3 linked regions of the Canis lupus familiaris genome follow. The protein of the gene in region 1 interacts with the protein of each later gene in a pairwise test. Links are inferred from orthologs where the notes say so. Each region holds a gene or a part of one and is shown in the gene's direction. Other genes may lie near its edges.

Region 1 (4,659 bases):
GGGAACATTAGTCATGCAGTTACAACAAATAAAAGTATACAAAAGCATTAAGGAAAACTAAAAGTCATTATGCAAACGTGCAGCCTGGAGAGCCCAAGCACTGTACAAATGCCATACCTGATGGCTGACGTGTGTCGCTGTCAGCGTGTGCAAGTGGGTGCGTATTCGCGTGGTGTAAACTCAGCCTGTGAGTCTGATTCCTGTCTCTTCCCACCTCCCCCTCTCTGCTCCCAGGTGGCATGAAGCCCAACACTTTGGTCCTAGGTTTCTATGATGATGCTGCACCCCAGGACCACTTCCTGACAGACCCGGCTTTCTCCGAGGCTACTGATGGCACCCAGGAGGGTGGGTCCCCAGCCCTGAGCACTCTGTTTCCTCCACCCCGGGCTCCTGGGAGCCCCCGGGCTCTCAGCCCCCAGGACTATGTGGCCACAGTGGCAGACGCCCTCAAGATGAACAAGAATGTGGTTCTGGCCCGGGCCTGTGGGGCCCTGCCCCCGGAGCGGCTGAGCCGGGGTTCAGGGGGTACCTCTCAGCCACATCACGTGGATGTGTGGCCTCTCAACCTGCTGCGGCCCCGGGGTGGGCCTGGCTACGTGGATGTGTGTGGCCTTTTCCTGCTGCAGATGGCAACCATCTTGGGCATGGTGCCTGCTTGGCATAGCGCCCGGCTCCGGATCTTCTTGTGCCTGGGGCCTCGAGAGGCCCCCGGGGCGGCTGAGGGGCGGCTCCGGGCACTGCTGAGCCAGCTGAGGATCAGAGCCGAAGTACAGGAGGTGGTGTGGGGTGAGGGGGCTGGGGCTGGGGAGCCGGAGGAGGAGGAGGAGGAAGGAGACTTTGTGAATGGCAGGCGGGGAGATGCTGAGGCAGAGGCCCTGGCATGCAGTGCTAACGCCCTGGTTCGGGCCCAGCAGGGGCGCGGCAGAGGAGGCGGGCCCGGTGGGCCTGAGGGTGCGGATGGCGAAGGTGGGCCTGCCACAGCCCTCACTTTCCTATACCTGCCTCGGCCGCCCGCCGATCCTGCCTGCTACACTCGCTACCTGGCGCTCCTGGAGACTCTGACCCATGATCTGGGCCCCACGCTACTCATTCACGGAGTCACCCCAGTCACTTGCACTGATCTCTGATGCCCGGGGCCTGGAGCAGAGGGTGCCCAGGTCCGGTGACCTGCTTTGATCAGTGGATGCAGAAGGGAAGGGCAGCCTCCCGCCTGCTCCACGTGTGGGGTGTGGAGCCCTGTGGAAGTACTAGGGGATCCTGGGCTGGGGCACCCCTCTGTCCCTGTGAGAGGGGCTTTAGTGCACTAATGCAGGGCAGCTGTGTCCCCACCACGCTGGGGGAGAAAGGCAGCAGCCCTCCCCACTGGCCTCCCTTCCTTCACTGGTGCCTTGATGGAGGCTGGGTCTCTGCTTTGACTCTCGGCTACCTCAGTCTCCCCTTGCCCAACAGACTCGCAGACCCCTGAGGTTGTGATGTTTTTGTTCTGTTTTATTTTTCTAACCGCTGAACGTGAATAAAAGACCAAAACACTATGGGCTGGCCTGGCTGAGCACTGCTAGGGGCGGTAGGTGGGGCGGGAAGAGAGAGATCTGGTTGGGGGAGTGTGGGAAAGAGCCGCGCTGGAGCGCGTCCCAGCGGCGAGGTGGCCACGTGCGGGACTTGGGGCGCCAGTCTGGGGGAACGAGTGAAACGGAGGCAGCCTTGGAAAGCTCTCCCTGCTCGGCGGGAGGGGGCCGACTGGGGGAGGGACGGCAGTTTAGGGCCTAGGGGGCCACGTGACCCTCCCCCAGGAATGTGGTGACGTCACCGGGGGCGTGGCTGTCCCCAAAATTGGGGAGGAAGGGGAAAAAAAAGGCCAGAAAAAGTTTCTTTCCTGGAGTTCCAAACGAGGTGTGGGACAGAAGAAGGGGCCAAGACCAGAGTCTTGGGGCTACGTGGGGCCTGACCGCTGTCTAGAGTCTCCTGATCCCGGCCATGTCGGGGCCCACCTGGCTCCCCCCAAGGCAGCTGGAGCCTGCAAGAGCCCCTCAGGGGAGAGCACTCCCCCGAGGTGCCCCGGGGCCGCCGCCAGCCCATGGAGCAGGTAAGGCAGCCCCAGTGCCGCCAAGGAGGCCACTGGCCATTCTGAGCTCACCTTCGCCTTCTGGTTCCTGCCTCCTGCCCCTGGCTTGTCCCTGCCACCCCTTCCCTGAAGCCCTTCCGGCTTCCTGCTCCTGCTCTGTTCTGGGACTCCAAGTGTGGGGGGGGAGGGGAGAAGAGTGACCCATGAGGGCGGCCTCCATAAGTGTCACCCTCCCCTCCTTCCCCATCCCCACCTTGGCTCTCTTTTCCCTCACCCTAGCACATCAGCCCCACCCCAGGGTCAATTTTTGCCCCCTCCCATCTGAGCAGTGTTACCAGGCCCCCGGGGGACCAGATGATCGGGGGTTCCCCTGGGTGGGGTGCCATGGAGCACCCCAGCGCTCACAGGTGAGAATTGGAATTGGGAGTGGGTGGGAGGTGGGGGCACCCGGGGCAAGTGACTTGAATTCTCCCTGCTTTTTCTTCATCTCCAGGGGCTCCCCCCAGACAGGGGGGCCTTGCGTCCAGGAAGTCTGGATGCCGAGATAGATTCGCTGACCAGCATGCTGGCTGAGTTGGATGGAGGTCGTGGTCATGCCCCACGGCGGTCAGACCGGCAGGTGACTTCCCTGTCCCACCCCTGTTCCTTGTCTCCTGCCCTCTTCCACACTCCCCATCCTGGTCCTTTCCCTAGATTCTCAACCTGGTACCCTTCACCCTTGCCCCCATGTGTGATACATGCAGGAGTATCACATCTTACTAGATTGTCAGCCTCTTGAGTGCTTGTCAAAGACCAGCACTACCTTGGGGACACACACACACACACACACACACACACACACGTGGGAGGGCCCACAAGTGTGTGTCCTGGAATGGGCCTTCTCACTCCTGGTCTGTTTCTCCCCAGGCTTATGAGCCCCCTCAGCCCCATGCCTACCGCACAGGCTCAGGCTCCCTGAAGCCGAATGGAGGGGGTGTTCCTATTCCTCCCCAACAGCTCTCAGCGTCTCCCTATGGGGGCCCCACTCCAGCCTCCTATGCTACAGCCAGCACCCCCGCTGGCCCTGCCTTCCCTGTGCAAGTGAAGGTGGCACAACCAGTGAGAGGCTGTGGCCCTCCCAGGCGGGGGGCCTCTCAGGCCTCCGGGGCCCTCCCGGGCCCTCACTTTCCTCTCCCAGGCCAAGGTGAAGTCTGGGGGGCTGGCTATAGGAGCCACCATGAGCCAGGGCCAGGGGTTAAAGAGGAGGCTGCAGGAGGAGGAAGAGGAGGCGCGTATGGGCCCCAGGTAAGCCCTAAGTATTGGGATGTGGGGTCCTCATGGACAACTGGACACTGATTGGGTGGGGTGGGGAGTCCTGGGGTGTTGGAGTTCTGGGTCCCAGGGATGTGGCGCTGGTCAGGAAATAGAAGAGGGAGGTGCTGGAGCTGTACACTGGCTCCTGGAGGTGCACCCCTGGGCCCCGGGCTGAGACCTCGTCAGATGAGCTTTCTGCTTGGAACTGCCTGGTCCCCTTCAGGAAAGTCTGACAGCATAGGGAGCTGGAGGTAGGGCTGAACCCCTGACTCCCCCCTTTCAGGTCCCCCTGAACCAGCCTCCTGAGGAAGAGCTTGAGAGGCTGACGAAGAAACTGGTGCATGACATGAACCATCCTCCCACCGGGGAGTACTTTGGTGAGCTGACCTGAGGTGGGAAGGGGGGCAGGGGACTGGGGAGTCAAGGGGACAGCGAATCCACCTTCCATTCTGCATGCTTATTGACCCTGTCCCTCCCTGTCCCCAGGGCGGTGCGGCGGCTGTGGGGAAGATGTGGTTGGGGATGGGGCTGGCGTTGTGGCCCTGGACCGGGTCTTTCACGTTGGCTGCTTCGTGTGCTCTACATGCCGGGCCCAGCTTCGGGGCCAACATTTCTATGCTGTGGAGAGGAGGGCGTACTGTGAGAGCTGCTATGTGGTGAGTGGGTGTGCTGGGGGTGGCCTGGGTGCTGGAGTCTGTAGCAGGAGGCAGGAGGCTTCCATCTAAGGTAGCAGGAGGCAGGAGGCTTCCATCTAAGGTGGAAACTAGATGTCTAAGCACATGAGAGGGACAGAATTCAAAGGTGGGGGATGCCTGGGTGGCCCAGTGGTTGAGCATCTGCTTTCGGCTCAGGTGGTGATCCTGGAGCCCTGGATTGAGTCCCGTATTGGGTTCCCCCCAGGGAGCCTGCTTCTCCCTCTGCCTATGTCTCTACTTCTCTCTCCGTGTCTCTCATGAATAAATAAATAAAGTCTTAAAGGAAAAAAGAACTCCAAGCTGGGGGACTAAACTGATGTGTAAGAAGGAAGGAATTGGGAAAGTAGTGAAATTACTGGCTGCTGGAGGGAAAGGACAATAGTTCCTTACAAATGTGAGAGGAGGAGGAAGAAGAGGAGGAGACCAGACTTATCTTGAGTTAAGGGAATATGTTAAATTTCCACACTGCTGCCCCTGTGAAGCAGCTGATACTACTGTAGGAAACGGAAGTTGAGACTGGATCACTTCTGTAGGAAGCTACAGTGCTGGGACTTAGATCTGTTCAGGGCCACTTTTCACTGAATCCCTTGCAGGCTATAAAAACAGGTG
Region 2 (4,847 bases), on another chromosome or scaffold:
GGGCCAGAGCTCTAGGCAGGTATATATGGCACTCTAGGAGAAAAATAACCAGAGCAAACTTTTCTGTAATGTTTACTCTGTGCAAGGGACCAAAATAGCACTTTACATAATAGAATGCATCCTTAAAACAATCCTATCAGGTAGTTTCTGTTATCCCAGTTGAGAGCTGAAACAAACTGAGGTTAACTTGCCTAAGGTCACACTAAAAAACTGGGGGATGTCCTAGGAAGAAGTTGCCTTTGAGGTCTAGGATGGATTTTGACAGCAGCTAGGGCACAGGAGGTCCTCACCAGATCCCAGGCCTCTATAAAACTCAGCTGTGGAGTTGAGAACAAGGTTTGGACTCTTAACAGTTATATTGGTTCCCAGCCCTCCCACCCCCTTCAGACGTCCTGTGCCACCCATCCCTGCTTCCACACCCATCTGCTTCCTTCCTGTTCTGTCATGTTTCCTGTGGAAAGCAGCCAGGATGGGCTGTTCACATTCAGGGCCAGGAGTAGCCACTTCCCCTGACAGCACTGCCCCTGCTCCATCCAGGCGGCAAGAGGCACTTGGGAGAGGGTTCGGAGCCACCTGGGACCTCAGGGTGGATTTGCACCCTCTTCCAGGTTCTAGTTTGTCTGCAATTGCCCCGCACAGAAACAATGCTCAGAAGTCAGCTCTCACCCCTCACCCTTCCATCCTCCCATCTCCACTCAGCCCTGGACCCGGTCTTACTAACAAGCTGGATTTCTTCAAGAATCCCCCTCCTTCTCAGGGCTGAACCCTGTCTCCCGCCCCCGCGCAGGTGCAACCCGGTTCAAGAGTTCACTCTTCCCAATCCGCCCCTGCCCTGGAGGGCAGAGCCTGCACAGCCCTAGGGACCAGGGAGGTAAAAGGATGGGAAGGTTTTCCGCGGACAGCGAGAGAGAGAAGTACCCGGCCCTGCCAAGTGTCCCCTCGACAGATTCCTAGGGCTTGTTCTTGGACGTCCCCGGGAGTCGGGAACCCCGGGGTTCCCAGTCTGGGTGCTGGGAGCTTAGGGGAGGGCACGGGACTCCGCCGGGGTCTCACCCTCGCTGCGCGCCGGCGTCCGGGCAGCTCTGGACGGACCCCGCCGGCCGGCCCCCCGCCCAGTCCCCACCCTGAGGCCTCAGCGCCCGCCCCCGCCCGCCCCGGGAGCGCCGCCCGCCCTCTCCCTCGCCTCCCGCGGCCCCCGCCCGCCCCTCCCGGACTGGAAGAGCGGGCAGCTGGCGCGGGGCCTGGAGTTGCAGCCGGAAGGACAGGATCTGGGGGACCGCAGGGTGGAGAGTGCAGGCTCCACTGCCCCTCCCCACTCCCAGGGGCTCGCGAAGGCACTGCGCCCCCGCGGGCACGGGGCGGACACCTGGGAGCCGCCGTCGGGCCGGGTCTTCAGTCATTGGCGGAACCGTGCGCCTCTCCGAGCCGGCAGGTCCCCTCAGACCCTCCTCCGGCCCCGCCCCTCTCCTCACCCCTCTCAGTTGCCTCCCCCGGTCCCCAGCCCTCTTTAGGGATTCTTCATCTTGCCTTTCTCCCTGCAGGCAGGCCGTTCAGGCCCTTCCCCTATCTTTTTTGTCTCTTCCCCCGACCCCGGTCCCTCTTCTGATCCGGGGAGTGGAAACCTCCGGTCCCATCTCTGGGTCCCTTCTCGGCCCCGCCCCCGCCCCGCCCCGCCCCTCTCCGTGGGGCTAGCTCCGCGGCTGGCCCGGAGCGCCCTCTGGCGTCTGCGCATGCTCCCCGCTCCCGACTGCAAAGTCCTCCAAGGGGACCTTCTAGGCTGCGCGCTGGTCGCCCCCGATCGGGTCCGCCCGCCCGCAGCGTCTCGTTGGTGCTGCCGGTGACCTCCGACCCCGCGGCCGCGGGGCGGGGCGGGGCGGGGAGGCCTTAGCTCCGGGCGGGCGGCGGCTGCTGCAGCGGGACCCGGGAGCGGGGCCCGGCGCCGCCCGGGCCGCGGGGCGATGTGAGTCGGGGCGCGGCGGGGCGGGGACGAGGCGGTTCCACCGAGGCCGCACCGCGCCGCGCCACAGCCTCCGCTCCCTCCCGAGGAAGCCCTGGGCGGGCGGGCGGTGGAGTCCCGGGGCTGGGGGCGGGGATCTGGGACGGCGCGCGGCCCCGACCTCCCCCATCGCTTCCCGGTGTCTGTAGAAATTCCCTGACAACCCCGCCACCCGAATCTGTCGCTCATTCCCCAGAACCACCCCACCCCCAACCCCGGACACACCTCGGCTTGTCCTGGAGCCCTTGGAACCCCCTCACTCCTGCGAATTCTCCTGTTCACGCCCGCAGAGCCACCACTCTCCGGAATGCCCCCCAGATGCTTCCAGAGCGCTGCGGTTCCTGATCCTGCATACGCCCCGTTCTCCTTGCACCACGCTTTAATGCAGAAAACTTACCCATGTTTCCGCAAGCCCTCCTATATTTTGAGTCCCCATAACCCACCCTGACACTCCCACCTCCGATCCACACCTCTGGGGGACCAGAGCCCCTACCTGTCCCAGCCACTGTAACCACCACCCCCCCCACCCCACCCCCGTCACTGAAGTGTCATGATACGTTCTGATATCCTAAAGACAAACGAAGGGGACAGAAAAAGGTGCAACACCCTCCCCCATCTTGCACCCTATAGTTCTTGGTTTCACCCCCAGACTCCCTGTTGGTGGCTCCAGCCTCAGTATTTTCCCGGCTGCCTGTCTTCAGGCTGTGCACACCTCCCTCAGCCTTTTTCCTTCTTGCAGAGCATAAGCCAGACCAGAGGGATGGGGGTCCCTTTACCGGGAAAGCTGTAGGAGGAAGCAGAGCACAAGGGTCCCCTGGGAAAGGATATTGCTTTTGGAAAGCAGGAGGGTGGGATTTCAAGGATCTCCAAGGCCCTGGCTTGTCAACATGTCCACCTGGGGCTGAATCCCCTGGATCCCTGAAATTTTGATTTATTGTTAGCGTTTATGTTAAAATTTTAGGCGTTACAAAGCTTGGAGAACAGAATATCTATCAAGTTTCCAAATGTCAGATGGAGGGAGCGTAGCTTGTCCTGGAAGGGGCAAATACCCGTTTTCGTGACCATTTTACTACGGACTTAACCGCTTTCAGGTTAATTAAGCCAGAACCTCGCCATTTACAGAGGTTTCCCTTGAAAACTAAGGCCTTGAGGTGGGAGGTAGGGGATTGTCTTGCCAGAGTCTCCCAGATGCTTAGTGCCAGCTTAGATCATTCGTTTCCTGAATCTTAAGCCAGCATTCTTTCCAGTACATCACAGTGTCCTTTTCAGAAAGCTCTCTGTAGAGTTAAAGTTTTCTGCAAAGGTAAGGTGGTGGTTTTGGTGTTGGTTGTAACAGGATTCAGATGGGTTCTAGGGGCAACTGAAAAGGCTGTCTCCGACTTCAGATTCCTTGCAACTAGGGTAGTGGCTCCCTTTCAGGGCCTGGGGGGCTTGGATTTGTGGCCCTTTGGCCTTGAACTCACTCTCTTCATTGTGTGTCCTGTCAGGACCTGGAACAGATATCCAGGTGGGATGGATTGACAGCAAGTGAATTCATTAACAATTGGGGGCGAGCATGGAAGGTTTCCGCTAACTTGTGGTCTTTGTTTCCTGTGCCAGGTGAGCCCCAGGTGTGTCCCAGAGGGATCCAGGTGACTTCTCTGCAGACTACTTGCCATGATGCCCCACCAAGAACAGGGGGAATAAAGTGGGGGTCCTTCCCCATGCCCCTCCCATGGTCAGCTCCCCGATGGCCTGGGTGAGGTGAGAGCTGTGTAAAGGAGCCACTCTTCTGGAGTTTTCCAAGTCGGGAGGAATGGGGGATATCAGTCAGGATTGTTCAGGGCTTTACACATTCAGTGGGAGTTCCTGAAGGATATCTGATCTTACAGATTCATTTTTTCAAAGATATATTTATTTAAAGATATATTTATTTAGTGAGGGAGAGGGAGAGGGAGAGAGAATCTCAAGCAGACTGCTGAGTGCAGAGCCTGATGTGGGGCTCAATCTCATGACCCTGAGATCACGACCTGAATTGAAATCAAGAGTTGGAGGCTTAACTGACTGAGCTCCCCAGGTATCCCTTATAAATTGATTTCTTGCATCAAGTTGCAACCCTTCTGGTTGCGACTGTTCTGTGCATTTGTTTGCTCCCTAAGGTCACTCCAGTTTGGCGGTCTCCTCTCCATTCTAGACAAAGGCCCAACTGTTGTGACATGTAATCCAAGTGCTATAATCCTGGAGGGAAAAGCCAGATACTAAGGCCTCTGGTCTCCTTTTTAGACAAAGAGGAGCAAACCCAGAGTTTTTTTTTTTTTTTAAAGGAAGAAATGCATAATCAAGGTTATAAAAAATGTGCTGTTTTGAATTTAGTCTTCTTACTGTATCTTGACTGTGATGTGATGCCTCACAGAAGAGAACATCAAAAAGATAAATTTGAAGTCCATTTTGGGATGGTGGTGAGGGAAGAAAAAAGAATTTGAGTGATGTGGGAAGGGTAAGGTAGAAAAGAGGGGAAAAAAAAAGAAAAAGAGGAAGGTCCAGACCAAAGTGTCGGGGACTCCCAAGTTACAGTTTCTCTGCTGAATCCACATGAAGGCTCTGGATTGGCATCCAGCTCCCTCTGAAGAAAATCACTTTTCTGGTTCCCTGCCTTTTATATTATTTAATTTAATTTAATTTAATTTTATTTAATTTTATTTTATTTTATATTTTATTTTGTTTTATTTTATTATTTATTTTATTTTATTATTCTATTCTATTCTATTCTATTTCTATTCTATTCTATTCATCTTTTCAAAAAAGAGAGGGAGAGAGCATGCAAGCAAGGGGATGAGCAGAGATAGAGACACAAGCAGACTCATGCTGAGCA
Region 3 (4,862 bases), on another chromosome or scaffold:
GACCCATGCTCCATTTCCCAGTTTCTCCTCAGAAGCTTCTTGCTTTTGACACCCTCCAGAGAGTGCCAGAAATTGTGGTACTGGATGTTCAATGATATCTGTGAGCGGAGGAGAGGCTGTGAAGACCCTGGTGAGAATGGTTTTGGTTCTGTTCCTCCCCAGTAAAAGATTCTTTTCCCCTTGCCTTACTAGCCAGCTAAGATCTCTGTTGAGGCCCCCCACCCCAGGGAGATGGCAAAACTGTGACTCTGGAGTGCAGCGCTAAAGCTAATGCACAGGCAGGTGAGTGAGGTCATGAAGTGCTAAGAGAGGTTGGGCACACCCCATCATTTATTTGGGATTGAATGAGCTCAACCAAGGCAAGGGCTTAACCAACACAAGAAGCTGAGGACCATTGCATCCTTATCCTTACGTGCTAGTCAAGCAGCCAATTACTGTTAATTGTGTTGGCAGTTTGGAACAGCAACCAGGGAACTGATGCAAGACAATTGTGGGATGACCTCTCTGTCCCGTCCTAGTGCCAGCCATTACTCATAGTCAGATGGGGAGCCAGGACGCGCTCGTAAACATTTTTGGGTCAGAGAGAGTCAATAGGCTCCCTCCTCCTCACACACTCACGGTGCCCTGGGTGTCAGTTTTGGTATGGTACATGCGGTCACCTGACGACACAGTTCCGCCGCACAGACAGGCAGACGTCCAGGTGGATGGATCCGGACCGGACTGAGCACATCTTAACACTGGAGCGTTCAGTCCTCTCCCTGTCTCTAGCACCCCCCAGGCTGCCAAAGGCCACCTTGCCATTGCCAGCCCCATCGCCTATCCCTCTTATCCCCCCCCCCAAAGCAATTAAATCAATCTAGTTAATAGAAGCAGTGGGACGAAGTGGAAGGGAAAGCGCGGAGCTAGTGAGGAGGGGCCCTGGGGGATCCGGATGGCAGAGGAAGGAGAGAGAGAGAGAGAGTGTGAGATTCACTGTTGGAAGCGTCACTTTGGTCACCTTCGATGTCTTTGGAGGGTCCCCGTGGGGAGGGAATCATGATGCCAGAACCTGCTTCTTCATTTTGCCTAACAGACGGTTTCGTCCCTGAGCACGACGTGGCCCTGCTGGACGACGCGCAGCTGCTTCGTCGGGTCACGGCAGCGACACGAGCAGGACGCGGCGCCGGGACCGCCGGGACCGCCCCCCGCTGCAGGGTCGCCGGAGGCCGGGCGGAGGGAGACCCCCGGCGGAGCGCATCCCCGCGCGGCCCCGCCCCCGCGCCCCCCACCCCGCGGGCCGTGACGGGGCGCCCGGTGGCCGCGGGGCAGTTGCGCTGCTGGAAGGAATCTTGCTGAAGAACTGCCCTGCCCGGCCACCGGCCTGCTGACGGTTTCCTCGGCGCGGCGGCTGCTCCTGCCTGGGGGGCCTCGAGGGCTAAAGGGGGACGAGGCCGCGGTTTCCGGGGACGGGGCAGTACTTTGGTTCACGGGAGGCCGGGCGACTGCTGAAGGGGGCGGGTGGCCTGGAGCGCCGTGGCCTGCACCTCCCGCGGCCCCCCCCGCCCCCGCCCCCGCCCGCGAGCGCGAGCGCGGCGGCCGTCCCGGAGCGGCGGGCGGGCGGGCGGCGCGCACCGTCCCGTCCCCGGAGGGGGGCGCCCGGGAGCCAGCGCCCGGGCCGCCGTCCCACGCGGGGAGGGCGGGCGGGCGGGCGGGCCGGTGACGTCACGGTTGCCATGGCCGCGGGCAGTGACGCGCGTCGGCACGTGACGCGCCGTTGCCATGGCGCCGGGCCCCGGCGGCGCGGGCGCCCCGCCTCCCGGAGTGACGTGGGCCGGCCCCCCCGCTTTTCCCGCCCCCCGCCCCCTCCCCCCCGCCGGCTCCCCGCGGCCCGGGAGGTTTCACTGCACAACAAGATGGCGGCGGCGGCGGCGAGCGGAGCTGGCGGGGCTGCCGGGGCCGGGGCGGGGGGAGCCGGGCCGGCGGGCCGCCTGCTGCCTCCGCCCGCCCCGGGGCCGCCGGCCGCCCCCGCTGCCGTGCCCCCGGCGGCCGGCCCGCCGCGTCCCCCCGCCCCGGCCTCCCGCGGGCCGGTGCCTGCGCGCATCGGCTACTACGAGATCGACCGCACCATCGGCAAGGGCAACTTCGCGGTGGTCAAGCGGGCCACGCACCTCGTCACCAAGGCCAAGGTAGCGGCGCGGCGGCAGCGCGGCCCGGGGCGGGGGCGGGGGCGGGGGCGCGGGGCCGGGGCCGGGGCCGGGGCGAGCGCGGGGCGCGGGGCGCGGGGCCGGGCGGCCGGGGCCGGGGACCGACGCTGCGGAGCCGGGGCTGCGGGGGGCGGCGGGGGAGCTCTGGGACTCCTGGCGGAGCCGCACCCCGAAGCCGGGGGCCCCGGGAGCCCGCAGTTGGAGCCCCCGGGGGACGGGGGCAGGGGCTAGGAGGTGCGGACCGCGGGGTGGCCGCGGGGGGGCTTCGGAGAGGACCAAGGACGGCCGGGGCATGCCGGGGCGCGGGGCTGCGGGGCTGCGGGGGTGCGCGGTCCTGGCGCCCCGTGACACACGCCGGGCAGCGCTTGGTCGCCCGGGACTGATGGGAGGTCGCGGCGGGGAGCGGGAGCCCGGGGACGGCCCCGAGATCGTTGGAGGAGGCGACGGAGAAAACGGGGAAACGAGGGGGAGGCAGATCGCGTGGCTCCTCCGCGGGAAGGGGCTCAGGGAGCAGAGGCCCAGGGCGCCCGGGGTCGTGACGGCACTAGGGAGTCAGGGGGTAAGCGGTTCGGGAGAGCTGGGTTGCTGCTTTATTTTTAGTTGTTGCAGGGTCTGGAATCGTGGGCTTTCAGAGAGCCCCGGGGTGGGCTCTCGGCGGTGGTGGGGGAAGCCCGGTGGGTGACGGAGGAGGTGTTGGAGGAACCCAGACCCTGGAGGATCAGTACACTCCTTGGGCCCTTTGGTTCTCCAGGGATTTGCGGAGCTGTTACTAGTGAAATGGGCCAAGGTCAGTTAGGAAGGCACATAAGTACACATGTACGGTTTGACATGTAAAATTCCTTTTTTTTTTTTGAGGAAATGTGGGGTAGCCTTCTTCACTGGAAGTATTGGAACCAGAGTCCTCAGGAGGAATCTTTTGGTCTTGAGAGGACCCACAAAGCCCATTTGTACTCCAGATCTCTTGCTTTGCTCAATCTCTCACTTGAATGAATACTTTCAGTGTAGTCATTCATTATATCTAAAACTGCAGTTTGTGTTTTCCTTCAACCTGATGAAGCACCCTTAGAGCTGCTGCTCCTGCTTCCTACCAAAGCCACATCAATTCCTCACCTCCTCAGTCTGGCCCTTATCATCGCCTGCCTTGTTTTTTGCTTTTATGGCAATTGCTTATTTTCAGAAGCCAGTAACTTATCTAGGCCTTCTCTCCTGCTCACTCACAACCTGAAGTTCCTTTTTTCCCTCCTTTCTGTCAGAGCCTACAAGGGGCCCTTTCCACCAGGGTAGCAGGGTAGGTGGCTGTGGAAAATTGATTGGTCAGTTTCACTTCCTCTGGGGGGCCCCCTTCAGCCTTTTTGTCAGTTTTTATGGGAGGGCCTCAAGTCTGCAGGTCTGAGCTGAATGAGATACCAAAGTCCAGGATTCTCTGATGTCACCCTCAGACCCTGAGGGGGACTAGACTGAGCCAAGACTTTGGTGCGTCTCTGCCTGTCCCCCCCCCCCCCCCCCCATGCACACCCAGGTGTTTACAGTTCTATTTACTGTTAGCTAAGCCAAAGTTATGTTTATAAACAATACTAGTTGTTCGAGAGCTTTGTTCCTTGTTTCAGTATTTCCTTTTTTTTTTTTTTTTTTAAACCTCCCCCTCTCTTCTAAGTAATCACATTGAGCTCCTGTGATTATTTTGCTCTGACCTCTGGGGGATGGACTCCATGAACTTAATTGGTTTCCTGGTTTATGGTATCTATGATTTAAAGAACTTTGTGTCTTACAGCCCTTGGATACACCAAAATATTGATAAAAAAAAAAATCTGTGACAGACAGGGTTGTATGTTTTTGTAAATGTAATTGCAAACAGTTGATTCTTGGCTTTATATATAAAAGAGACATTTTTATCTTCAGTAGTCAGCAAAGCCAGTGGCTAATTATGGCTGATCTGCTTGCTTTCTAATTTCCCTATGTGTGTGTGTGTGTTTCTTGGTTTTTCTCCGAGGCCTTGGTGTCCTTTAGGATAGCAGCATTTTAAACATTAGCTTGTTTATACACGGGTGTCACTGTTTATGTTGGTTTTTATCTTTGATCATTTGTGGTGTGCAGTTATGTAATGCGTATGTATGGAAATATTTGAAATCCTGAACGATACCGAATGAAATGGCTTGGACAATGAGTTGCATGTGTGCGAGGACCACACCAGCGCTCATTTGTGTTTCTGTAGCAGTGTGCAATTTCCTAGTTACAGTTACAAGTGCCCTATCTTTTGCTGCTTAAATTACTCTGACGACATGAGTGAAGCTTAATTCACAAGGAGTTGTCATGTGCTCTGGGTGAACGATGAGCATATTTTGGCCTGCTCCATGGTTGTCTGAATCCACTTTGGAAGGGATTCTTAAATGCTGACAGCTTAGATGTGCCTAACAGCTGTTGACATACAGTGTGATGGCCTATTAAGGCCATGGTTTGGTTATATAATGGCAAAGAAGGTGCCTAGCTAGGTACTAGTAGATGCAGAAGCTGCTGTTTCAATTGCTCAGGGAGATAGATTTTTCTCTCCGTGCACTGCAGTGTTTATTTTACTTCTGCAGTCAGGTCACTTGGAACCAAGAGAGCTATTTTTTCCCCCCACCTCTTTCTAGAATCTATAATTTTTTGTTTCATCTTTTAGAGGTCTGTGATTTTTTTTTT

The links. The genes of interacting proteins can lie anywhere in the genome.
Region 2: the proteins of TRIP6 (region 1) and FRS3 interact in binary tests that used the Homo sapiens proteins (3 or more experiments, as listed by UniProt). The two-hybrid records come from large-scale screens. The link is inferred for Canis lupus familiaris from reciprocal best matches to the Homo sapiens genes TRIP6 and FRS3.
Region 3: the proteins of TRIP6 (region 1) and SIK3 interact in binary tests that used the Homo sapiens proteins (3 or more experiments, as listed by UniProt). The two-hybrid records come from large-scale screens. The link is inferred for Canis lupus familiaris from reciprocal best matches to the Homo sapiens genes TRIP6 and SIK3.

The regions. Positions count from the first base shown.
Region 1 is NC_049227.1:8,843,612-8,848,270, reverse strand, and holds the start of TRIP6 (thyroid receptor-interacting protein 6), read left to right. Parts: upstream 1-1,670; 5' UTR 1,671-1,974; coding exon 1,975-2,083; intron 2,084-2,341; coding exon 2,342-2,469; intron 2,470-2,555; coding exon 2,556-2,681; intron 2,682-2,968; coding exon 2,969-3,346; intron 3,347-3,638; coding exon 3,639-3,732; intron 3,733-3,841; coding exon 3,842-4,011; intron 4,012-4,659. Other genes in the region: SLC12A9 (solute carrier family 12 member 9), read left to right, coding at 235-1,127. UniProt on the Homo sapiens protein: Relays signals from the cell surface to the nucleus to weaken adherens junction and promote actin cytoskeleton reorganization and cell invasiveness. Involved in lysophosphatidic acid-induced cell adhesion and migration.
Region 2 is NC_049233.1:10,652,128-10,656,974, reverse strand, and holds the start of FRS3 (fibroblast growth factor receptor substrate 3), read left to right. Parts: upstream 1-1,877; 5' UTR 1,878-1,960; intron 1,961-2,221; exon of another isoform or gene 2,222-2,360; intron 2,361-3,110; exon of another isoform or gene 3,111-3,299; intron 3,300-3,595; 5' UTR 3,596-3,739; intron 3,740-4,847. UniProt on the Homo sapiens protein: Adapter protein that links FGF and NGF receptors to downstream signaling pathways. Involved in the activation of MAP kinases. Down-regulates ERK2 signaling by interfering with the phosphorylation and nuclear translocation of ERK2.
Region 3 is NC_049226.1:16,519,875-16,524,736, forward strand, and holds the start of SIK3 (serine/threonine-protein kinase SIK3), read left to right. Parts: upstream 1-1,892; coding exon 1,893-2,165; intron 2,166-4,862. UniProt on the Homo sapiens protein: Positive regulator of mTOR signaling that functions by triggering the degradation of DEPTOR, an mTOR inhibitor. Involved in the dynamic regulation of mTOR signaling in chondrocyte differentiation during skeletogenesis.